Linked DNA regions of Canis lupus familiaris. The protein of the gene in region 1 interacts with the protein of each later gene in a pairwise test. Links are inferred from orthologs where the notes say so. Each region holds a gene or a part of one and is shown on either strand. Other genes may lie near its edges. The genes, in order: CDCA7L and CTNNBL1.

Region 1 (12,076 bases):
TACCTTAGTTACAGCACTAAGGTCTGGCCGTGAGCTTTGCCTTACTCAGAAACCATTTGAGCATGGTCAGGCAGTGAGGGAGAGTAGAGCCCGTGGACCCGCCGTGAGGGGCATTCTGAGCAGCGCAGCATGTGTGTGAAGAGCTGAGCCTGGAGCCCAGCAGTGCAGTGGGCATCCAGAAACAAAACAGCTTCCATATCTTGGCTGTTGTAAACAATGCTGGAATAAACGTAAGTGTCAAATTAGTGTTCTGGTTTTCTTTGCGTAAATACTCGCTAGTGAAATTACTGGATCGTAAGGTAGTTCTATTTTTAATTTTTTGAGGATCCTCCCTACTACTGTTTTCCACAGTGGCTGTACCAGTGTGCGTTTACACCAGTGGTATGTGAGGCTTCCTTTCTCTCCACATCCTCACCAACACTTGTTTGTTGTCTTTTATTTTAGCCATTCTGACAGGTGTGAGGGGATACCTCATTGTGGTTTTGATGGGCGTTTTCCTGATGATTAGATAGGGAAGCAGCCTAAGTGTCCATCAATAGAAGAATGGATAAGGAAGATGCTAAATATGTGTTCAGTGGAATATTAATGCAGCCATGAAAAGGATGAGGTTTTTGCCATTTGCCGCAACATGGAAGGACCTAGAGGGTGTTAAGCTAAGTGAAGTAAGTCTGAGAAAGACAAATACCATATGATCTCACTCACGTGGAATCTAAAAAATAAAATAGATAAAAAGCCGAATCAGACCTATAAATACAGAGAATAGACTGATGGTTGCTAGCAGGGAGGAGTTGGAGAGATGGGTGAGGTGTGGGGAGACGGGTGAAGTGTGTGAAGGTGAGTGGGAGGTCTAGGCTTCCAGTTACACAGGAAGTATGTCACTGTGGGGGGCGGGGGGTGTTGGAAGGCACAGCATAGGGAATGTAGTTGATGATACTGTAACAGAGTTGTGTGGTGACAGATGGTAGCTACACTGGTGAGCACACTATCAAGAAGGTGAATCACTGTGTTGTACACCTTAAACTAATGTAACACTGTGTGTCACCTGTGCTCAAAAAAAAAAAAAAACAAAAAACAAAAAACCTTGTAAATGGGCAGGCCGGGTGGCTCAGCGGTTTAGCGCCACCTTCAGCCCAGGGTGTGATCCTGGAGACCCGGGATCGAGTTCTGCATCGGGCTTTCTGCATGGAGCCTGCTTCTCCCTCTGTGTCTCTGCCTCTCTCTCTGTGTCTCTCATGAATAAATAAATAAAATCTTAAAAAAACAAAAACTTAAAACCAAAGCAGCTGCTTTTGCTGCTCTGACCCCTGCTACTTCTGTGCATTCAAGCCCCCCCCTTCCTGCTCCCCACTGCCAGGTGTGATGCAGCGTGCCTCGGATGGCCTGTGACCGTGTGCTTTTCATTCAGCTCGCCCTGAGTTCAGGCACCTCCCCAGGGACAGGGTCGGTGTTGTTACTGTCCCTGTTTCACAGGGGATGACACAGGCTCAGGGCAGCAGCGAAGGGACTTGTCTCAGCCCCCACATCTGAGAAGCGTGTGGCCGGGATGTTTGAAATCTGGGAGCATCGCTTTTCAGCCTCTTCTTTTCTTCAACTCCCCTGTAGCGTGGTGGACCAGAAGCCTCACGGACACCCTCCTCATGCACTGGTTTTGCCCGTGTATATGCTGGTCTGTGCTCTTTGTTCTGCTTATCTGTCTTCTCTTCGTTTCTTCTAGAGTCCACCCCGGCTTGGATCCAGTTCAAATGCTGCTGCTCCTTGGAAGTTTTCCTGAATTTTCTTTTCTTTCCTTTTCTTTCCTTCCCTTTCCTTTTTTTTTTTTTTTTTTTTAAAGGTTTTATTTATCTATTCATGAGAAACACAGACTGAGAGAGAGAGGCAGAGACACAGGCAGAAGGAGAAGTAGGCCCCATGCAGGCAGCCCGATGTGGGACTCGATCCCGGGACTCCAGGATCACGCCCCAGGCCGAAGGCAGGCACTAAACCACTGAGCCACCCAGGGATCCCCTCTTTCCTTCTTTCCATATGCCATCTTGCTTGCATCTCCCTTAGAACGAAGATCCTGACTGTGGTTACTGTGGACCTGTCCCACTGCCCCGCTAACCTGTTACCTCCTCAATGGGAGGCGCCTCATACTTGAACAATGCTTTCTAGCATTCTTGGGCTGGACTGCTTACTCGTGTTTTCCTTTCCCCATGTTCCATATGCTCAGCTCCCACTGGTAAATGAGTACCCATGGGGTGGAATTGAGGTGGGATGCTTGTCTCACTCTTTTTAGCTCACCATCATTTTCCTGTCTGTTCCTTCACGTCACATGAGCTTCCAAATAAAAAGTGTAACCACTCTTTTAACCACTTTTCTGTTCAAAAGACAGAAAGTCCTTTGAAAATGTCTTACATTCTTGATCATGGTAGATAGATATAGGTGATCAAGGTCCAGAACATACTGCCTGGTATTGATTTGAAAGGATAGCAAATTCTGGAGAGCAAAGAGCTATGTGAGTGTTGTAACCAAGATTGCAATGAGACTGTGGAATAGATACTTTGCTTTATAAAGACTCACAGTAAGCATGGTTTTTTGTGCTTATCTTTTTTTTTTTCATTTTTTTCAAGGAGGTTCCATATGTAGTGTGGAGCCCGCAGTGGGGCTTGAACTCCTAACCCTGAGATCAAGACCTGAGCTAACATGAGGAGTCCGACGCTTAACTGATTGAGCCGCCCAGGCTCAGTTCTTATATCTTGTGGAATAAGGAGAGGAAAAGCAGGGGCCTTGGTTTAGGACTGTGGCTAAGTTGTTTTTGTGTTCTATCTGGTCACCAAAGATATTGATTTCTCTCAGCCTGACCATTTATTTCCCTGTGAAGCTTTTCAAAGGGAAAAGAGAGCCAGAGAGGACTGGACGGTTAGAACTTGCTGCTCTAAGAGGTGACTTGTTCTCTCTGGGCCCTAGGCAGGGACAATGGGTATATGAGGAAATGTACACGTAGACCCCCATTGCTCTAAACCCACTTGTAGAGACCGGCTCTGGGCTCTGTGAGCCAGATGTTTCCTGCTGGTGGAGCTAGCAGCTTCATGGTGGGTTTCTGCGGCAGCCAGCTGTGCACCAGTCTTCCTTACAAAAATAAACCCCAGGCCTGTTGCTTCCCCACCCCGACCCCACACATTCACAGTCCGTGTTAAGCAGCCAAGAGGAGCTGCACAAACTTGTATGGAGTATGCCACAACGTTGACTTTGGTCTTCCTTAAACACAATTTGAATTTCACTTTAAGGAAACTTCTCTTTTCTGTTTGTATTTTTTTTTTCCAAGCAGCTGCACCACAGCTATCAACAAAGGGACAAAGTAATTTAGCTCCAAGCACACTCACTCCAATTACCCATAATAATTCATAGGAGACATTTAAGCTTAAGAAAATGCTGGATATAGGCATTTCTTCCTCTATCCCCCTGTAAATTTTCCCACTCATCTATTATATCTGTTTTTCTCCAGAGATGATCTGAGCTTGAAGAAGTATATAATTAAAGTCAGGGAGAGGCAGTGGGGGAGATAAAGATTCCCCAACCAAATGTGGTGTGATGGGGGGTCATTGCTATATCGGGTGTGGGAGGAAGAGGCGTCAGAGGCAACTGGGGACACGGACTCCAGCCCTGGTTGCCAGCTTGGAGGAGGCTGGTCTGTGCGTCTCCTTCCCACACCGCAGGTCTGTCTGTCCCCTCCTTTCTTCCCGGAGTGCCATTTACGGAGCCCCGGTTTCTTTCCTTCTCTGGGTTCAAAAGACAAAGTCCTTTGAAAATGTCTTTCTTTTTTAAGGGTCCTGGCACGTCTTTCCTCCTGCTCACTGGCTACCTGGTGGGGGCTGCTGGCCTCGCACCTCCCACAGGAGAGGCAGGAGAGGCTGTCCCGGGGGCCGGGGAGGGCCGGGGCGGGCTCCGGCCCCTTCCCGCAGAGAGCCAGGCAGGTGCGCTCCCGACGCGGGGGAGTCGGCCTTGGACAGGTGCGCGGAGGGCAGGCCAGCGCGCGGCAGGGAGCCTCGCTCGGGATCGGGATCGGGATCGGTGCTGTGCCCGACCTTCCCCGGGGGCCCTGGCAGGAGAAATGGAGCCCACTCTCCCCCCCCCCCCCCCCCCCCACAAGGCAGCAAAGTAGCTGGCTCAGCCTGGGCCGTTCTGACATTTGGAAGTGGTGCAGTTGATCGTCTCAGATTGTTCAGTTCTGTTTCCCTAATCTGTAGAGGAACGTGTGTGTGCGCGCGTGTGTGCACTGGGGTAAAATACACATAACCTACAATTGACCGTTTCAGCCTCTGGTAAGTGCGAGCGAGCGCCAGGCTCTTGCGGGCAAGCTGCCAGGTGGCGCTGAGCTCGCGCGCGGGGTCCCCGTCACCCAGGGTGCTCCCCCACCTCGAACAGACGCTGCCCGTTCAACAGCCCTTCCCTGCCCCCTCGCCCCCCGGAAGCCTCTGTCTTCTTCCTTTATGATGTTTGCGTGTTTTTAATGCAGCAAGATGTGCGTTTCCGTTCCAAATACTTCACGGAAGAGCTGCGAAGGATTTTTATAGAGGACACGGACTCAGAGATGGAAGAGTTTGAAGGATTTACACAGAATGAGCTGAATGGAAATAGTAACCCAGAAGTGATGGTAATAATCCTCAACGTGGGAGAGTGCGGGTTCTCCTGTTTTCAGTCCTGCTCCTGAATTGTAGTTTCACTCGGAGGGAGTCACGTCCCAAACCAATGACTTTTTCTTACGTGTGTGTGTCTTAGAAGCCGGTTACCGAGATTGAGAAATGCTAGTCTAGGCTAATCCCTGGTCCCCCAGTCCATCGTACTCCTAGAGGAAGTCCACTTGTCTTTCCCTGGTACCTTCGAGTTCCCGGGGTGGGCGCATGTCTCAGGTGTCCCTTAATTGTCCTCGTGAAAGAATTTATTTCAGGCTTTCTTAGACATCTTTTTTTTTTTTTTTCTTAAACATCTTTTATCTGAAAAGAGGACCGTCTGTCTAGGAGTAGCAAGTTCTTACAAGTCCTTTCTTGTGTGCAAAGTCATGTTCTTAAGTGTGGAGTTAATTTGGCCCAAACTGAGCTGTGGTACAAAGAGTTTTCCCTGTGTGTTCTTGATTTGGATGCAGAAATGCTTTTTAGGGCAGCCCAGGTGGCTCAGCGGTTTAGCGCCACCTTCGGCCCAGGGTGTGATCCTGGAGTTCCGGGATCGAGTCCCACATTGGGCTCCCTGCATGGAGCCTGCTTCTCCCTCTGCCTGTGTCTCTGCCTCTCTCTGTGTGTGTCTTTCATGAATAAATAAATAAAATCTTTAAAAAAAGAAAGAAAGAAAGAAAGAGAAAAGGAAGAAAGGAAAGAAAGGAAGGAAGGAAGGAAAGAAAAGAAAAAAAAAGAAAAAAGAAAAGAAAAGAAAAGCTCTTTAAATGATAAAGATGGCCTGGCCATGTCAGATTCCTGAGGGAAATGTGCTCTCAGCACTTGCCTTTCGGGAGACTGGGGATTTCTTCCTTCACTGCATAGATTTAGGCTTCTGTGCTGCCAACTAGTATTTGAATCTCCGCGTAACTTTAAAGAACAGCCTTTGGGTTGTTTTCCCCAGGCATAGAAGTATTTTATACTAACTGAAAAATAGCACACATTTATCCCCCCAAATCAGTCCACCATCTCCTTCTTGGATATCAGGATAAAGGATAGAGGTTAAACCTCTTCACGTTCAGAAGCTCCTAAGGAGGAACCCCGTCTGGTGTGGAACTTGTATGGAAATCTAAATAAGCTGTAACTAGTAGGTTTGCTTTGTTCCTCACCTTTTCCTAGGGTGGCGGGGTGGGGAGCTTAGGCCTGAAAGCCCTAATGGTAGGCTGCCTTGTTTGATGTTGATCCCCCCGGGAATAGCAACACAGAGCTCTGCCAACCTACAGGCCCCAGCCCTCCTTTGGCTTTCTTTACTGAAGCTGCTTGTAAGGCCGTTGATGTGTTCTTGCCAGCCGGGCTCCACAGTTTTCCTTGCCAGCAAAGCACTAAAATCCTTCCAAATCCTTAATGGGTATCTTCTACTCCTAGTGACTTATTTATCTTCTGATTGTTAGCTAAGTGATCTCAGGGTATTCAAAGGATCCGTGTTTCTAGCACAGTGAAGACTACTCCAGAATTTTTTTTTTTAATGTTCTGTATATTTAGGGTATGAATTGGGACATGCTGACTACTGTCACTCATATCTTTGGGCAGGTCCACCTGCAGATTTTATTTATTTATTTATTTTAAAGATTTTATTCATTTATTCATGAGAGACAGAGAGAGATAGAGAAGCAGAGCCACAGGCAGAGGGAGAAGCAGGCTCCATGCACCGGGAGCCCGGCGTGGGACTCGATTCCGGGTCTCCAGGATCACGCCCGGGGCCGAAGGCGGGCGCTCAACCACTGGGCCACCCAGGGATCCCCTGCAGATTTTATTTTAAAATTCAGTGGACAAATAAGCATTATTGCCTGCCTCCCCAGCCTCCTGCTCACCCTAGTGAAGGCAGAGGAGACTGCCTTTTCTGATACTAGGATGTCACTTGGTGTCTGGTGGTCTAGCCACACATGAGGCTACCACAGCAGTGGTGCGGCCCTTGAGTTCTTTGCCTCCCGTCTTTATATTTGCTCTCACCTACTGTAGTCCTTCAGAGAGTCCTTAGGAAAGAGATACGGGTTAGGGGATGATGAAGATAAATAAAACCAATTTGAGAGAGAATTCCTCTGAAGTTCTCCAACACTTTCTGAAATTGGATTCCTCCAGTCCCATCGTTTTGCATTCCAAAGCTACCAGTGTAGAAAGTTCAGGATACTAAAAAACAAACAAAAGGATAAATCAATAACGCTATAGTCTTCTCCACTTAGCTTGTTGTGGATTTATATATACACCAAGGTTTGGTAGTTACATGAAGGGTTTTGTTTTTCTCCCTTTTCTTTTCCTTTCCTTTTTCCTTTCCTTTCCTTTCTTTTCTTTCTTACGTAGGCTCCAGCCCAGCGTGGAGCCCAACAGAAGGTTTGAACTTAGGGCTCTGAGATCAGGATCTGAGCTGAGATCAAGAGTCAGATGCTCAACCGACTGAGCCACCCAGGTGCCTCAATATATTTTTAAAAATAAATTTTCTTGGGGCACCTGGGTGACTCAGTGGTTGAGCCTCTGCCTATGGCTCAGGTTGTGATCCCGGGGTCCTGGGATCAAGTCTTGCATTGGGCTTCCCGCAGGGAGCCTACTTCTCCCTCTGCCTGTGTATCTGCCTCTCTCTCTGTCTCTCTCATGAATGAATAAATAAAATTTTATAAAAAAGAATTTTTTTCTTTTAAAGTAGGTTCCATGCCCAATGTGGGGCTTGAACTCACAACCCTGAGATTAAGAGTTGCACACTCCACCAACCGAGCCAGCCGGGCGCCCCTCCTCTGCCTTACTTTTAACTTGAGTCAAGCTAGAATTCGGGGGGCGAATTCACGGAGGGGGCAGCTGAGTCCTTTACCTCAGTCCTGGGCCCATCGTGGGCTATTCCTTGTTCTCCTCAGAGCAGCCCTGTTGTCCAGAATCCCTGACAGAGGGTCTCAGACTAAACTTCCCAGCATGTAGTAAAGGAAAGATGCGCAGGAGGTGGCCTTGATCTCAATGTTCAAGCCCAGCTCTGCCATTGCTAAGCGTCCCCTCACATCTGAGATGTCACCCCCTCATCACCTGGGTAATGTCCCCACCCTGCCATTGCCTTATGTTCTGTGTCTCACGTGTAAGGCTGGGTTCCGTTTTAGTGCCAGCAACCTGTACCAAGCAGAATTAGAAAATTCAGGGCAAGAATTTCCTGGGCTGCCTGAACAGGTGCTTCACAACAGCCCAAGAGCTGTCGGCCTTGATTTCACCCCGCGGCTCTGCGGGTTGCAGAAAAGAGAAGGGATATCCCTGGGAGTGAGGACCCAGCATGTCCTGGGAGGAGTTTCCCCCACTGACGCCGATGGCCAGTCCTCTGCTTGCTCTCCTGTCACTTCACTGAGGTGAAGTCGGCTCTCCTGTCCCTCCTGTCCCTCCTGCCCATGAATCCTCTTCCTGTTCTTCGGGGCAGTATGGTCAGTATTTTTTTCCCCCTCAGCACTCCATTTGTATTTGAAGATAACTCTAAGGCCATGCATTCCCTTTTCTTTGGCTCTTCCCCATAATACGTGGCCGGCCCACGGGGGAGCCCTGCTTTGTCGGCGCCCCGCGTCCAGCCCGCGCTCCTAGGAGCCGCCGCCGGTGGTCGTGGCCGGGGCACCGGGCCGCGGGAGGCAGCGGCTCTTGGACCGGATTCACCCGCAGACACCCGAGCGCCTAACTGAAGAGTTCGGTGGGAACTCAGAATAGGAAAGAGGAGCTTTCTTCTCATTTTTTCTCTACAATAATGTCAGAGTGCTTTAAAAAAAAAAGATTTATTATTTTTGGGGGAGCCTGATGGCGGGATTCGAGCCCAGGACCCTGGGATCACGACCTGAGCCAAAGGCAGGTGCTCAACCACCGAGCCACCCAGGTGCCCCCAGAGTGCTTTTAAGTAAGGTGTTTTTGAAGGTCTGTTAGGAAACATTGTTTCTAGTCTTTCTCCTTTTCTCTCCTTTTGTTAGCTCGTGGAGTCAGATTTGAGTGATGCTGGTAAGGAGTCTTTGGTGAGTGAAGAAGAGGAAGAGGATGAAGGAGAGAAGGCTACACCCAGAAGGAGGAGGCCGAGGAGAAGCAGCATTGGTCTTCGAGTCGCCTTTCAGTTCCCCACCAAGAAACTGACGAAAAAGTCAGATGACAGTTCCTCGGAGCCACTGTTTTCTAGCACACGCTTACAGGACAATAAAAAAGCAATTCTTGGAAGAAAGAGAAGCTGCAGAAAGGGGAAGGAAAGGGAAGATTCGGTCTCAGAGTCTGAGGACGACTCCAGGGATGAGGCTCAGGAGGGCTCGGATGCTCTGCTGAAAAGGACCATGAACATCAAGGAGAACAAAGCCATGGTAAGGCCGTGGGCGGGCAGTCCGGGCGCTGGGTGCGGGCACTGAGCAGTGGCTCCTGAGGCTCACAGAACCGCCCCCAGAGCGGCTGCCCTCGCATCTTTCGGGAAATGTGCTCTGGGCATCGGGTGTCCTTTTCTGTGTTCTGGACCCCAACCAGTTATTAGCTGGTCGGCTCTGGTTCGGGATCAGAAAGCGACTCCCCAGGACCACTTTTAGCTCCGCTTCCTGGTGCCGTGAACTCATGCTGCTTACCGTTTGCTATGAAGAGAAGTTCTAAATAGTGGTGGTGTCGGAGAGCAGAGCCGGACCGCTGGCCGGTTCCCAGCAGGGAGGAGCCAAGTGTACACAGGGAGTCGAGAAGCCACTTAAGAACCGCAGTGTGTGCTGGGGCTTCAGGACGTCATACGGGAGAATGAGAGAGGCCTAGGTACTAAACTGAGTGGTTTTCAGCCACAGTAACCCATCTTTGCTAGGATGAATGGCAGTAAAGGGGAAACCTTTGTCATGTGTATTTGGTTTTTCTGTATTTGTTCAGTAACATATTTGCTTCCTAATTTTGCATATGCAGAATTAATTCTACCACTCAGTCACTGTTAGCATTTTGGTAGATTTTTAATACTTTCTTTTTAAAAAGCACAATATGATAGTGTGTGTGTATTCTTCTATGTCTAATAAGAACATAAAAAGCTTCACTTTTGAGTGAAAATTCACCCTAAGGCATATTTATGGTTATTAGCAAAGGGAAATTTTTAGCACTGTGTCGGCATCTTTAAAATAACTATGTTCATGAGTTTTGAGTGACACTTACACGTCTGTATAACTCTAAAATTAAAAAGAATCCTCATTGGGGCAGCCCGGGTCGCTCAGCAGTTTAGCGCCGCCTTCAGCCCAGGGTGTGGTCCCGGAGACCCGGGATCAAGTCCCACGTCGGGCCCCCTGGATGAAGCCTGCTTCTCCCTCTGCCTCTCTCTCTCTCTCTCTCTCTCTCTCTTTCTCTCATGAATAAATAAAATCTTAAAAAAAAATCTTCATTGGCGTATTAATGCCTGTTAGTTGGTATTCTTAGGTGTTTATTTGGGAACATTTCCATAAATTATTTTTGTTAATGAGAAATGAATCAACATAAACAGTTTCTTTGGAGCTCTAAATAACTATCAGAACAATCTAGTTGAACCTTTTGTTTTGAACATGATGAAACTTGATCTCGGTGTGCACCATGATCTGTTTTGGGGTCACACTGCTAATTAATGGCCCCGTCAGAATTCCAGCCTCATGCAGCCAGCCTCATCATTCCAAGGACCCATTCATCTTATGATACGATCTTTATATGTAAGGAACGTGCATAGATTTTATTCCCATGAATGATGATAGTAGCCTCTCACCCCTGGAGATAACAATCTTTACAGATGAGGTTAAAAATAAAACAGCTGTTGCGATCTTACATGAACTACTTTAGTCAAGTTTCTCATGTTGGCAAAACTGAAGACGTGTTACGAGGTGTTAGATGAATGAGGCATATTGATGTCGGTCCTTCTTCTGTTCTGAACTGCAGCTCGCCCAGTTACTGGCAGAACTGAACTCAATGCCAGATTTCTTCCCGGTACGAACCCCGAACTCAGCTTCTGTAAGTAGAATGCCTTTATAATTCTTTATCCCGAGGCTGCTGGACGTAATCTGTCGCCAGATGGCTTTTGTTCCAGGAAGCACCCAGTTGCGTATGTCTGTGCTCTGACTTTCAGAAGAAGAGAACAGCGAGGCGGGCCTTCTCAGAGGGACAGATCACGCGACGCACAAACCCGACCCGCAGCGCACGGCCACCCGAGAAGTTTGCCCTGGAGAACTTCACCGTCTCAGCAGCCAAATTTGCAGAAGAGTTTTACAGCTTCAGGAGGAGGAAGACAATTAGTGGGGTATTTTCTGAGCACAGTGAACATATTATGCTTTGTCTAAGGCCACACTGAGGTCCTGACCTGGTATGTCTGGAGCAGCTGAGCAGTGATGCTGCTGATGGTGGTGCTGGTGGTGCTCGTGTTCCCAGGGCCACACTCCAGGAAGAACCCTCCCTTCCCCCCATCTAAGCTATAGGCTGGAGAGACTCCTTTACCTCAGTTTGAGCAGAGGAGCTGCTCAGAGTTAGGACCCTCAGCTTAATCTTTGAGGGAGGCAATAAGGGCCTGTCGGTGGCGTCCGAGGGCCTCGTGATTTGCCTTGTGGGAAAGGGCAGTGATTGCTCCTTGCCTTTCAGTTTTAGGAATGGGGCGTTTTAAGTGCCTTCAGAGTCTGGAGGGAGAAACTAGGTTCTTCCCATTTGCAGGTTTGGCCATTCATTGTGGCTCCTTTTCCTGTCCTCACAGAGTTTAGAGTTGGTGCCCGTTAATGGGGCAGGTAAAAACCTAGCTGCTCCTGTATTGTTGTATCACCTTGCCATGAAGGAAGTTGGCTCCGTGTCTGTGGCAGGAGGCTCCGTAAATGATTGATTCTCAAGAAATAGAAGAGAGCCGTGGTTAACATTAATGGTACTAGAGCTCTGAGACTGTGGGTTTTCTTTTTTTTTTGTAAATTTATTTTTTATTGGTGTTCAGTTTGCCAACATATAGAATAACACCCGGTGCTCATCCCATCAAGTGCCCCCCTCAGTGCCTGTCACCCAGTCACCCCCCTCCCCGCCCACCTCCCCTTCCCCCACCCCTAGTTCGTTTCCCAGAGTTAGGAGTCTCTCATGTTCTGTCTCCCTTTCTGATATTTCCCACTCACTTTTTCTCCTTTCCCCTTTATTCCCTGTCACTATTTTTTTTATATTCTCCAAATGAATGAGACCATGTAATGTTTGTCCTTCTCCAATTGACTTATTTCACTCAGCATAATACCCTCCCGTTCCATCCACGTCAAAGCAAATGGTGGGTATTTGTCGTTTCTAATGGCTGAGGAATATTCCATTGTATACATAAACCACATCTTTATCCATTCATCTTTCGATGGACACCGAGGCTCCTTCCACAGTTTGGCTATTGTGGACATTGCTGCTATAAACATCGGGGTGCAGGTGTCCCGGCGTTTCATTGCATCTGTATCTTTGGGGTAAATCCCCAGCAGTGC
Region 2 (12,076 bases), on another chromosome or scaffold:
GGAAGAAAGTTGTAAGTTGGAAGGTTTCTCCTCAATTTAACAAACTCTTTGAGTGATCCCAAGATGGGAAGGGCATGATTTAGGGAGGGGGTAAGTTTCTGGTTACTGGAAGTGTTAGGAAAGCCCCAGCCTATACCCAGTGGAGATGTTTTAAAGAGGATTCAAACCTCAGATAGGTGATTGGTTTAGATCAAGGCTTCCTAGTCTAGATGTCTCTAGTGCTTCAGAATTAGTACAGGAGGTTGTGAATCCAGACAGATGTACACAGGCATTCTCTGTAGAATGAATCTCAGTCTCAAAATCTCTCTCAAAACTAATCCATCTCTTTCTCTCTCTCTCTCTCTCATAAATGTAGGAGTTATAAACAAATTCAAGGAAAGTATTACCAAAAAAAAAAAAAAAAAAGTATTACCAAAGAGATAGTATTTGTTGTCATTGTGTTCTTAATCATTGGACATTAAGAGGTACAGCAAGGGATGGAGTCTGTCATATTTTGACATTAAAAAAAATCCTCCTTTAAAACCTGTTAATGGTCAACACCCTTTCCAAACTTAGGTTCTTTGATTTTTTATTTTATTTATTTATTTATTTTTTTTTAAATTTTTATTTATTTATGATAGTCACAGAGATAGAGAGAGAGAGAGAGGCAGAGACATAGGCAGAGGGAGAAGCAGGCTCCATGCACTGGGAGCCCGATGTGGAATTCGATCCCGGGTCTCCAGGATCGCGCCCTGGGCCAAAGGCAGGCGCCAAACCGCTGCGCCACCCAGGGATCCCAGGTTCTTTGATTTTTTAAATCAGGTGTGTCAAAAATAGGTGGGAAGCTACATGTATTGTCTTCTATGAGCCAGTCTCTTCTGGGCACTTCAGAAACATTGGCCTTTTTGTGCTTACATGTATGTATATACATATATAGGTAAGTGTATGAAGTGGTTATTGTTCCTAGCGTATAGATTGAGAAAATTCAAACTTAGAGGGGGTAAGTTACTTTACAGGACTGCTAACTAACTAGAGGCACTAGGATTTGAATTTAGGAAAATTTGACTCCAAAACTCATTCTCCATATAGGATATCACCAATTGCAAATAGGTTAGCAAGGACTAGTGAGTATTGCAAAGTAGGAAAAGAAAAGCACTATATTGGGAATTAGAAGCCTTGAATTACTGTCCATCACAAGCAAATTGCTTAGAGCCACTAAGCTTAGATTTCCCTGTCTATAAAGAGAGGTATAAATTAGATTATCGCTTTGAGCTCAAATTTCTAAGTCTTCCCCATTGTTTGATATTTAGGAAATAATACTTTATGCTCCTTTGGAAGGCCCTTTTTTGAAGTTCTGAAGCTTCTTGGTACTAGATGGAACATTCCTGGTTTATTATTAGGTTATAGAAGATTTCCTTTGACTTTTTCCATCCTTTAATAGAATTGAACATATTTTTTCTTCCAATAACATAAAAGTACATTTTATAAAAATCACTACCTTCCTAAGCCGGTAACTTGGAATACTGAACTTATTTAGACACCCCCCCCCATACACATCTCCACTGTTATATCCTGGTATAGATGTGCTTTCACATTAATAATTGTGCTGTGTGTTTTCATAATTTATCATAATGATGCCATTATTGCTTATTATAGAAGGCCCCTTTCTCCCACCCCTACCCCCAAGTCTAATTGAGGTCGAGACAAGACCATAAATGTGATAATATAGATTGCATGCTCAGAGGAAATGGAGTTGGTTTCATAGTGGAGTTTTAATTTAGGATTCGTTCTGGTGATGTAGCGTCTTCCTATGGTACATTACTTTGAGCCCAATATAACTGCATTTTCCCACAGCTCCTCATTATAGCTACAGCTTCTCACTGCTTTTTAATTAAAAAAAAAAAATAGAGAGAGGGAGAGAGGGGAAAAATGAAACCTACAGCTTAGGTTGGATATTGTCTGGGTACGCAGGGAGTATCCTAGGCAGATTACTTATTTAATTTTTTAACTCTTTCCAAGCTTTTGTGGTGATGTCTTGATATCTGTTTCCAGGGGGATGTATATATATATATCATCCATCACACATACACACATAATAGGCTTCAAGATTTTTGGAAAGTAAAAGCATCTTATATATAATCTTGAAGCTTACTATAAGCTTTGAACAAGTGGAAATCTTTTATGTAACCTAGAAAGGCTACCAACTGTGTGGTTGGACGGTGGCAAATGCTTAGTGAGCATTTATATTGCTCACTACCTATTGGGAGTAAGGCAGGGAACGTAGAAGATTTTTTAAATCCTTAAAGGCTGATGTTCTGGAACATCAGAAGTTAAGAGTTAATCATTTTTTCTCTAGTCTGTGGGCAGCAGAGACAAAGAAATGACTTTATGAGGAACAGTTTCTTTTGTCATTCCTTCATCTTGAGGGATTCCAAACACCTTTCAGATACCAAAACAAATTAATCTCCAAAAGTGACTGGTAAGAATGGCTTAATCCTCATGGGATTGGTTTTGTAAGATACAAGGAGAGCTCATGTGTGAGCTGTTGACCTCTCTGACAGGCTAAGAGTGTTATATTCCTTTCCTGAATCCAGAGCTCTTTGGCTCTTCTATAGTGGAATTGGTTTGACAGCTCTGAGATTCTTCTCCATTTATGTATTCTTGCTTTGTTTTGTGTAACTGATCACTCTCTCAGTAGCAAATATTGGTAAATATAATGTAGACATTTATTTATTTCCAGGTGAGGATATTGTTAGCTTCATGATTTTTTTTTTGTGGGGACCTTTCACAAACAGTACTTAAGCTTTCTTAGTCCATATTTTATACAATGTTGTTGGAAAGACGGTTCCATTTTGCTTTATCAGGGAACAGGAAGTCCTCAGATGAAAATCCTCTAGACCTGTGGTAGCCAATATGATAGCCGCTAGCAGTATATGGCTGTTGGGACATGAAATGGGGCTGAGTCTGGGTTGAGATACACTCTGAATGTAAAGTAGTCTACCAAACTCTAGAAGCTTGAGTATGAAAAAAAATGTAAAATATCACATTAGTAATTCTAAAATATTGATTACATCTTAAAATGATAATATTTTAAATATATTAGATTAAAACAACATTAAAATTAATTTCACCTGCTTTTTACTTTTTAAAATGTGGCCCCTAAGAAATTTAAAATTACATCTATGATTTCCATTTCATTTTGATTGGGTAACTATGTCCTAGACCATTAAGCCCCTTGATAGGAAAGTAGCATTTGTCTTATTCACATTTATGTCCCCAGTCACCAGCATAGGCCTTATACTTAGTTGGCATTTAGTAAATATTTGTCAAAGAAATGAATCCTAACCTTTATCCTTCAGAGTGGTCAGATTCAGAAATGAGTAGAAACTTCTTTGGGAGTGTTAGTATCTAAAAAAGAGACAACCCTTATTGAAAAGAACAACAATTCTTAAAATCCTGCCTTGGGAGAAAAGAATTGCTGAAACAAAATATCTCGGGGCCTTTAAACAGCTTACCTATCTGTTGGAGGCAGGAGCTGATAATGTTGCTGAAGCAACCATGGCAGAGGACCCTAGTGGCTTTGGCTCTGCTCTGCTGGAGAGTTGTTATGAGAGGAACTCCAGCTGAATGCCCTGTGTAACAGAGAAGGGAGGTGTAGAAAACAGTTTGTGAACCAGAGTTTCCCCTCTTAGGGATGTTGTGCTCAGACTATTCCTAAAGATTAACAAAGGTGTTCTTTTCTCAAGAATCCATCCTGGCCCTATCTGTGCCCGTGTCACCATTTAGACAAGACCCAAATGGAAGCCTGGGACTACCGTGGGCCACCTTATTACCTGAAGACCCTTCAAGCCTTACATTTCTTTAATATATTATTTGTTGAACTAATGGTTTAACAACTATCATTTTAACTTTACTGAGGTCTTACATGACTTATATTTATGGGTATAGGTTCTTGACTGAAAGTCCCTTGAACCTGTCTCAGTGAGGGTCCTGGAATTAAGACCTGGATTAGCAAACTTCCGAGAGTTCGGGTTCACCTTTGAGAATGGACAAGACTGTCTTTGCAAGAGTTTATTAAAGGATCTCAGGCATCCCGCCTCCCTGCTTAGAAAATAAAACTGTTAACCTACTTTTCTTCCCCAGAGGTGTGGTGAAGATTAAGAGAGGTGCTTTAAGTTCTGCAGAAGGAAAGTGCATTTTCAGTGGAAATTATTAGAGGTAAAAGTGAAACTCCTCCCCTAGCTCTAAAAGGTTTGTTTTTTAATAGTAGTTTGGAAGACGTAAGATTGGAAGATGTATTCCAAAGAGACACTGACAATGTTCTTTCAGTTTTGCATTTCTTAAGTGTGGCGGTATTTAGCTTTCTCCTTTTAATTGTGGTCCACTGGCTTTTCTGTCTGCCCTCAGAGATAAACAATCCAGAAATCTCCTTTCCGTGGAGAACTGTGGAACTCATGCTTTGATTTGACTGCTGCAGCAGGCTCAACGCTAATCAGAATCGCAGCAGGGCTCATTTTATGAGCCTGAAAGAATTAGTGCTCCCAGGGGGCTAAAGTTCTTACCTGCTGGGGAGCTACAGATTTCTGGTTTGAAGCCTGCCCTCCTTTAGGATCAAGCTACCTTTCCTTCCTTTCTTGCATGAACACCACAACCTCCTTTTTCTTGTGGTCCATGGTAACTGGCATGTTGATTTCTTTCTTCTTTTTCTCCTGTTTTTCTAAGTGCAGACCAGTGATGATGACAATAGATTCTTCTAATTTTTGTATTTATGCAAGTAGAGTGTTATCATAGGAAATTGTAATCTATCTTATGGAGGCTAGGAGCAGAGTGAAAAATAGCAGGTGGTAGCCTACAAACCAAATTGTCTAATGTGAGTTTTCTAAGCAATGTCATATGCTTAGACTTATTGGCGCACCTGGTATGTGGAACCAGCAGGGTATGTGAATATAGAGAGGAGTGAGGAGTGACTTTGCACCACTGGAATAGTGGAACTCAGTAGCATTATGGGTTATAAGTCAAAAGGTGAGATATGTAATGTGTATAGTAGAAATTTGTCTCTTATTACCATGAAACAACTTAGCAGGCTGGCAGCAAATGTGGCATTCTCTTCTGTTGGTCTTAATAAACCATATCGCACCTAGCACACTATTTGTGTGTGTGGTTATCATAATATAAAAAGAAAAGCTCATTGAGCCTAGCACAAATGTGTTGAGGGAGACAGAATCATGTGGATTACCTTATAGTAATAATCTTTTATATTTGTTTGGTACTGTAATCATTTAGCATTCTTTTTTTATAAATATTTTATTTATTTATTAGAGAGAGAGGGAGAGAGTGCTTGCACATGCACCAGCAGAGGGAGGGCCAGAGGAAGAGAGAGAAGCAGACTCCCATTGAACAGGAAGCCTGATGTGGAGGCTCAATCCCAAGACCCTGGGATCATGCCCTGAGCTGAAGGCAAGACGCCTAACTTACTGAGCCACCCAGGCACCTCTTTTTTATTTAGCGTTCTTTCACTCAAGTTTGCAACCTTTTAGTACAAACTTCCAGTTATGGATAAGTTCTGGTTCTGGGAATCCATCAGATAGCAGAGTGACTATAGTTAACAAGTGTATTGTATACTTGAAAGTTGCTAAGGGAGTAGATCTTAAATGTTCTCATCACAAAAAAAAAAAAAAAAAGTAATTATGAGAGGTGATGGAAGTGTTAACTAACTTATGTGTAATCATTTTGCAATATATACATGAATCAAATACATTGTTATATGTACACAGTGACATATGTACACAGCATTATATGTCAATTATATCTCAGTAAGGCTGGAAAAAGAATGGTAAATATACACACACAGAGAAGCATCCTTTGAAGTTCACAAGGAAAAGGGTTATAATTTCCATTTGCTATTTGCAGATGAGGAAACAAAGGTTTAGAGAGGTTAATGACATGCCCAGAGCTGTACCAGTAGTAATTTGAGCTGTTTGAGCCCTGGTGCAGTGCTGTTTCTCCTTAGCTCTGAAGGCCATTTCGGTAGTGCCCCCATTTTATTCCAATTTAACAGAAGGGCACTGTTAAGAACTCCTCCATGGACTGCAGTGTCAAAGGCAGACTGAGGACCTAACAGTGGGGCAGACAGAGCTCTGGACCAGAAGTCGGGAAGTGTCAATTGTGTTTTCAGTTCTGCTGCTGGTTTTGCATCTTTGGGTAATACTACCTCTGGGCCTTCTTCTACCCTGCTCTTCTGTAAAGTAGGACTTCGGAGTGCAGTAGCCCCTTGGATGTTGCATGTGTAATCTTCTCCATGAGAACTTGTGAGTGACTGTAGTCTTTTCTTAGACATGAATTACAACCGTGTGCAGAGGGATTAGTGTTGGGGATTGTGTCATAACTAGTAAATTGAGCCGAATGTGTCTCAGAGTGGCTGTGTTCCCTGTGATTTCTATATGTACAGTAACTTTTGTGAAGTGGTAAAACTACGCATATTTTTTAAATTCTGTAAAAAAAAAAAAAAAAAGCCAACAACCTTGTAGGTGACATCAGTCCTGTATTTATAAAATTGCTACAGGTCTGAAAAAATGACCGCTTGGAACTTGGCTTCATTTTGTGAGAGAAACCATTTTGTATGGAGTTTTTCATCAGTGAATTCTTGAAAGCTTTTAGAATGGCTGCTATGTATGCCCTTCTAGATCTTTTCCAGCTCTGGAATCCTATGTTTCTTTTTTCTCTTTCTCAGCCCAACAGGGGCACAAAACGTCCCCGGGATGATGAAGAGGAAGAGCTGAAAATGCGTCGGAGACAAGCTGGTCCCAGAGACCGTGGCCGCTATCGGGAAGAGGAAATGACGGTGGTAGAAGAAGCAGATGATGACAAAAAGAGACTGCTTCAGATTATTGACAGAGAGGGCGAGGAGGAAGAGGAAGAGGTAAGGTGGCAGACGAGGCTGGCCGTGACACCATATCTGTAGAGGGTCATTTTATGCCAAATGCTTTCCCTGAGCTTTTCACCTTAATCTGTGAAATAGGGTTAAGAATACTTACTGCACAGTATTAACATGAAGGTGAAATGCAATAATAAAGTCAGGAAGCATTTTCAAAGTGTAAAGATCATTATAGATAGAGTTTTTAAATTATTCTGGATTATGTGTCATAATCGAGGCCTGAGCACTGAACTGTGAGGCTGTTGCTATTGACTGAGCAGGGTCAGAAGGATTCTTAGACTAGACACATTGAAGGCATGTCCATTTTTTAGTATAGTTAGTAATCTTTAAAAGAGGAGTAGAATTTTATCAAACTAGTGGAAGAAGGTTTTTCAGTTGAGATGTCATTAGCAAGGCCACAAAGGTGGAGAAGTTCAAAGGTGGAGCTAAGAGATTAGCTTTTTAGGTGTAATTGAAAAATACAGTTTAGGAAAAGAAGTGCTATGTGCTGTTCCTCAAGGTGCCTTAAGGCATACTCGTTCCTACTGCTGAACCTTTTTACTTCTGTACCCTTCGTGGAATGCTCTTCCCCTAATGCTTTGCAAGACAGCTTTCTTCTGAACTGAGAAATCCAGGTCTCAGTTCAGATGTCTCCTCCTCAGAGACAGAGAAGCCTTTCCTATCTCTGAGGTAGCCCTGTAAATCATTCTCTCTTTCTCTTATCACTTCGATCAGTATATTGTCTTCACAGCACTTACAATGATCTGAGATCCTGGTTTATTTATTTTACTCATTTGCTATTCTCTCCCTGACCTCTTAGGAAAAAGGGACTGGCTCTGTTTTGTTCACAGCTGTATCTCTAACACTCGGTGCAATGCCTGACTCTTGGTAGGCCCTTAATAAATATTTATTGAATGAATAAATGAACGAAGCTAAAAAGAGTAGAGGTAAAATACCAGTGATTAAAAATAAAATGACCTTACCTAAGTGTCTTTTTATATCCTTAAGTATTAACTTGTATGTTATTTCACTCTGGCATTTTGTTCAATATGAATTATGGAAATAGATTCTTAAGAGCCAGCTGTTTTTTGGTTCCCTGAAAGACATGATGCTAAGTTTGGATTTAAAAAATGAAGCTGGAGTGTGAATCTGAGAAGGGAAAAAAATGGATTCATATTCCAAAAAGGTCTTTACTATATTGTGACAATAACTCTCTCCTCATTAGGATCCCCAAATTAGCAGTGCTAATTTGGGGATCTGCCCCTAAAAGATGGTGGTGCTTTGGAAATCTGTGGTGGGAGACAGTCCTGAATTTCCTCTCTAAGGGCAGCAGCCCTGCTAGGCTTAGACAAACAGTGTGTGTAGCATATCCTCCCTCCTTCCTTCCCTGTTCCCTGCCTCCCCCACCCCCCCCAATAGCTTCTGCTCAATCTGTTAGCCCTGCAGCAGCAGTTAATTGGCAGGTATAATTCCCATGTAGGGCAAGGCTGGTACTGGAGGATTAGGATAGTAGCTGTCATGGGTAAGTGGTTTCTAGCCTAGGAGACAGAAATGTAGTGTGGGACCAGGCCTTCTGTTAGGGGACAAGGGAAAAAGAGATCGCTTTGTAAAAATGACACATGGAAGACTACAAGTCTAGGAGTTATTTTCTCACTGCCACCAAGGTCCCGTTTGATGAAAAACAAGTGATGTTTGCCCCCGTAAAGTCACGTGGACTTGTAAAATATTATTGTCCTTTTTGTGCTACATCACCAGCATTCATCTTTCTGAAATCTCCCTCTGGTTTCTGACGTTGAGCTATTGGAGATACTGCTGTGGTCGATGACTAAGACTGATAATTCAGTTTTACTCCAGCATTGGAGGGAAATTAAAGGAGGGAAGGCCAAACCCTGAGAGGCCAAGATTTGGGGCATCCTGTGAGAGCTGTATCAACGCTAATATGTTTTTTTTTCTACAGGGTGGGCAAAATGTTAGGGAAGGACAAGAAGTGGAGATTGGGGTTACTTGAAAATGATTTAACCCTTCCTAAAAATTTCAATTACTTAGTGAAATCCTCGTAGTACATTGGGTACATTGTGCCTGTTGATAGTAGCAACAATAAGGGTTTAGGTTAATATAGCATCCTCTAGTTTGTAAAAACAGTTTAATGTACCTCATCTCTTTAGGTCATCTCCCTGACCTTGAAAGAGACAGGTATATTTTTGCCCTCCCTCTCTTCCTACCTGCCTTCCTTCCTCCATTACATCTTCACTGGGCACTTGCTGTGTGCCAGGCACTGTGATGGGCACTGGAGAGTCAATAGTGAATAAGTGGACATGGGATGTTTACTCTGGTTTGGGGTTGGAGAGATTGTCTGGGCCAGATCCTGCCAGACTTTTCCATATCTGGGTCATGAGAAGGATTTAGAATTTTATTCTGAATGCCAAGTGGATGAATTCAAGAAAGACTCCTAAGGTCAGTTGGACTTGGTGACAGCTTGAGGATTATATTCAGCAAAGTAACATTGCCACATGGCTAGTAAGTAGTGAAGCTCCACTCTGAGTCCTGACTGACCCAGGGCACTGAGTTTAGTTTGTAAAGATTCTCTTTAAGCTGTAGATACTGGGGATGGGGTGGGAGTCCAATAGAGGCCCTCAGTGGCCAGGGGTCATTGATAAAATCTAAGAAATCTGTCATGCCCAAAACGAATTTATAGATAACTCCTACTTAAAACCCAATATATTGACACTGAAATTTAATAAAGTAATAGCTAACACTTTGGAGTACTTAACATGTTAGGGATGGTTCATTGCTTTCCAAAAGGATCTGTTTCTGGTTCTCTTAATAGCAAGGTTTTTTAAAAAAAAAATTTTATTACTTTTAGGTGTGAGTTGTGGTCAGTGGTCACAAAAGCTGTGATGCCAGGAGTTGAGCGTTGGAGAGGCAGAGAGTGTTGTAGCATGTGACTTTAACCTCAAAAAGAAACAGAAGAGAAGACGTTCCTGAAATTTTAGTGTAGATTTTTTTTTTTGGGGGGGAGATGATTCTGTTTTTAAAAATTCATTTTATTTACCTTTGTAGTTATTATTCCAGTGTTTGAAATAAGAAAACTGTATGGTCTCCTAGTTTTTATGCCTCTCCTGAGTGTGGTTACTAAATTCTTGATGCTATATCAGGCCTACAAGTACCTCTCTGATTTCCTTCTCAGCAGCTAATAAGGACCCGAAACAGTGATGTGTAAGAAACTCAAGCAGTGACTGTTGCTAATTAACAATCTTTCTTATGGTATGGGCTGTACAAAAATAAGCCATGCATTGGATTTGGCCTATGGTCAGGAGTTTGCTGATCCTTGGCATGCAGAAAATATTGAGGTCCACTGTCACTGACTCAGGTGTTGACCTTGAACAAGTTCTTTTAAACTTGGATATTATCTCTACAACAAGGAGAAAGATGGGTAAATAGTAAATAATCCTTATCTAATATTGTTGCTTAGTACATGCTATCCAGTATGCTCAAGAAATATTTGTTGAATGAGCTAATCTTTAAAACCTTAAATGGAGCTTCCTGAGTTAGTTGTGAGACAGTGATATAACATAGCATGTGGTCTAGATCCTTAACCTTATTTCTAGTGGGAAGATAAAGTATGTACTGTATATTTAACCCAGAAAGGTAAGTGGCAAATGGCTAAAAGCCATGGAAAAGAAGTAGTGATTAGTGAATAAGAAATCCCTTTGAACTAAAATTGTTGCTGTTTGTTCCCTTTATACCAGGAGGAACCACTAGATGAGAGCTCAGTGAAGAAAATGATCCTTACATTTGAAAAAAGATCATACAAAAACCAAGAGTTGCGGATCAAGTTTCCAGACAATCCAGAAAAGTAAGGCTCTGTCTTGCTAATACCCTCTTTCCTTCTATGCGTTGTTTGTTGTTTTTGTTTTGTTTTTCGTTTGTTTTGCCTGCGTTGGTTTTTGTGCTTTATGTCAGGAGTCCCACAATGACCCACGTGTTAGGGAAATCACTGGAAAGACTCATAGAGCTCAGAGTCATGGTACTCGGGGCCACACAACAGGATCAGGAAGAGAGAAAGGTCAGACAGTCTGGAGAAATTCATGTTTAGGCTCCCTATCTTTTCTCTGACTGGGTTACATGCAGACATGTTCCTTTCTCCCAACAGTGAAATGCATCAACATGTGTGCAGTGTTTCTGTCCAGGGAAGCACATTTGAGACCTAAGAGTCCAGGATATATTTATTGAGGACAAGTTATATAGGCCTTCTCTGTCAGCAATGACTATCAAAATTCTGCACTCCCAGAAGGAAAGCAGATGTTAAGTGCTGCTCCAGTTGGGCAAAACACCTTTACCACTTAGGGGACCTTTCAAAAGCCAAGTACCAGACTAGAACTAGACTCTTCTAAAGGTCAAGTCTGCTATGTTAACTCTTTTCTGCGTTATTCTTCTCAAGGTGCAGAGAAAACTCACCATGCCTGTCATTAATGATAGATTTTCTGTTGAGAAAATGTCAAGGGCTTTTCGGTTTGACAGATATGGGTGTGACTCCCATGTGACCTTGAATAAGTCACTTTTCCTTTCTTAGCCTCAGATGTCTCATTTGTACAAAGAAATAATACCGCCTACACAGGGTTGTTGTGAAGATTCGGTGAGCATGATGGCATTTATTTAGCTCGGTGGCTGGCTGGCACACAATAAGTGCTCATGAAATGATAATCTATGTGCTTGCTGCCTCCACCAGCACCTCTGTGTCCTGTGAGATGCTGTTGTGAAGAATCTGGTATTTTTCAGTTCATCTTGACAGGACTGACATGGGAAGATCACCCGTCATGTGGGTGTGGAATATGTACAGTATGATTTAGATAGGGGGAAAAATGAATTCTAACTAAAGGGATTTTCATATTTATACAGATTTTAATGTTGTAAATCTCTCTTCCTTCCCTGTCTTTCTGCCTCCCAGGACATACACTTTTAATGAATCTTAATAGGCCCAAGGCCCCTAGGCAATTAAGAGTTGAATAGTACAGTCTTTGTACTCCAGTTTATAGGTTACTAGGGAGACTGACTATAAATGCAGGGTAGAAGGAAATATACTTTAAAAAAGATACAAGCAGAGCACTGTGGGAGCATAGGGAAAGAAACCATGAATACCAGGTTGGGGGCTATTGAGGGCTTCATGGAAGAGGTGGTATTTGA

Evidence for each region.
Region 2: the proteins of CDCA7L (region 1) and CTNNBL1 interact in binary tests that used the Homo sapiens proteins (3 or more experiments, as listed by UniProt). The link is inferred for Canis lupus familiaris from reciprocal best matches to the Homo sapiens genes CDCA7L and CTNNBL1.

The regions. Positions count from the first base shown.
Region 1 is NC_049235.1:35,867,391-35,879,466, reverse strand, and holds part of CDCA7L (cell division cycle-associated 7-like protein), read left to right. Parts: intron 1-4,495; coding exon 4,496-4,633; intron 4,634-8,605; coding exon 8,606-8,980; intron 8,981-10,532; coding exon 10,533-10,604; intron 10,605-10,719; coding exon 10,720-10,890; intron 10,891-12,076. UniProt on the Homo sapiens protein: Plays a role in transcriptional regulation as a repressor that inhibits monoamine oxidase A (MAOA) activity and gene expression by binding to the promoter.
Region 2 is NC_049245.1:26,843,860-26,855,935, forward strand, and holds part of CTNNBL1 (beta-catenin-like protein 1), read left to right. Parts: intron 1-6,709; coding exon 6,710-6,898; intron 6,899-10,641; coding exon 10,642-10,748; intron 10,749-12,076. UniProt on the Homo sapiens protein: Component of the PRP19-CDC5L complex that forms an integral part of the spliceosome and is required for activating pre-mRNA splicing.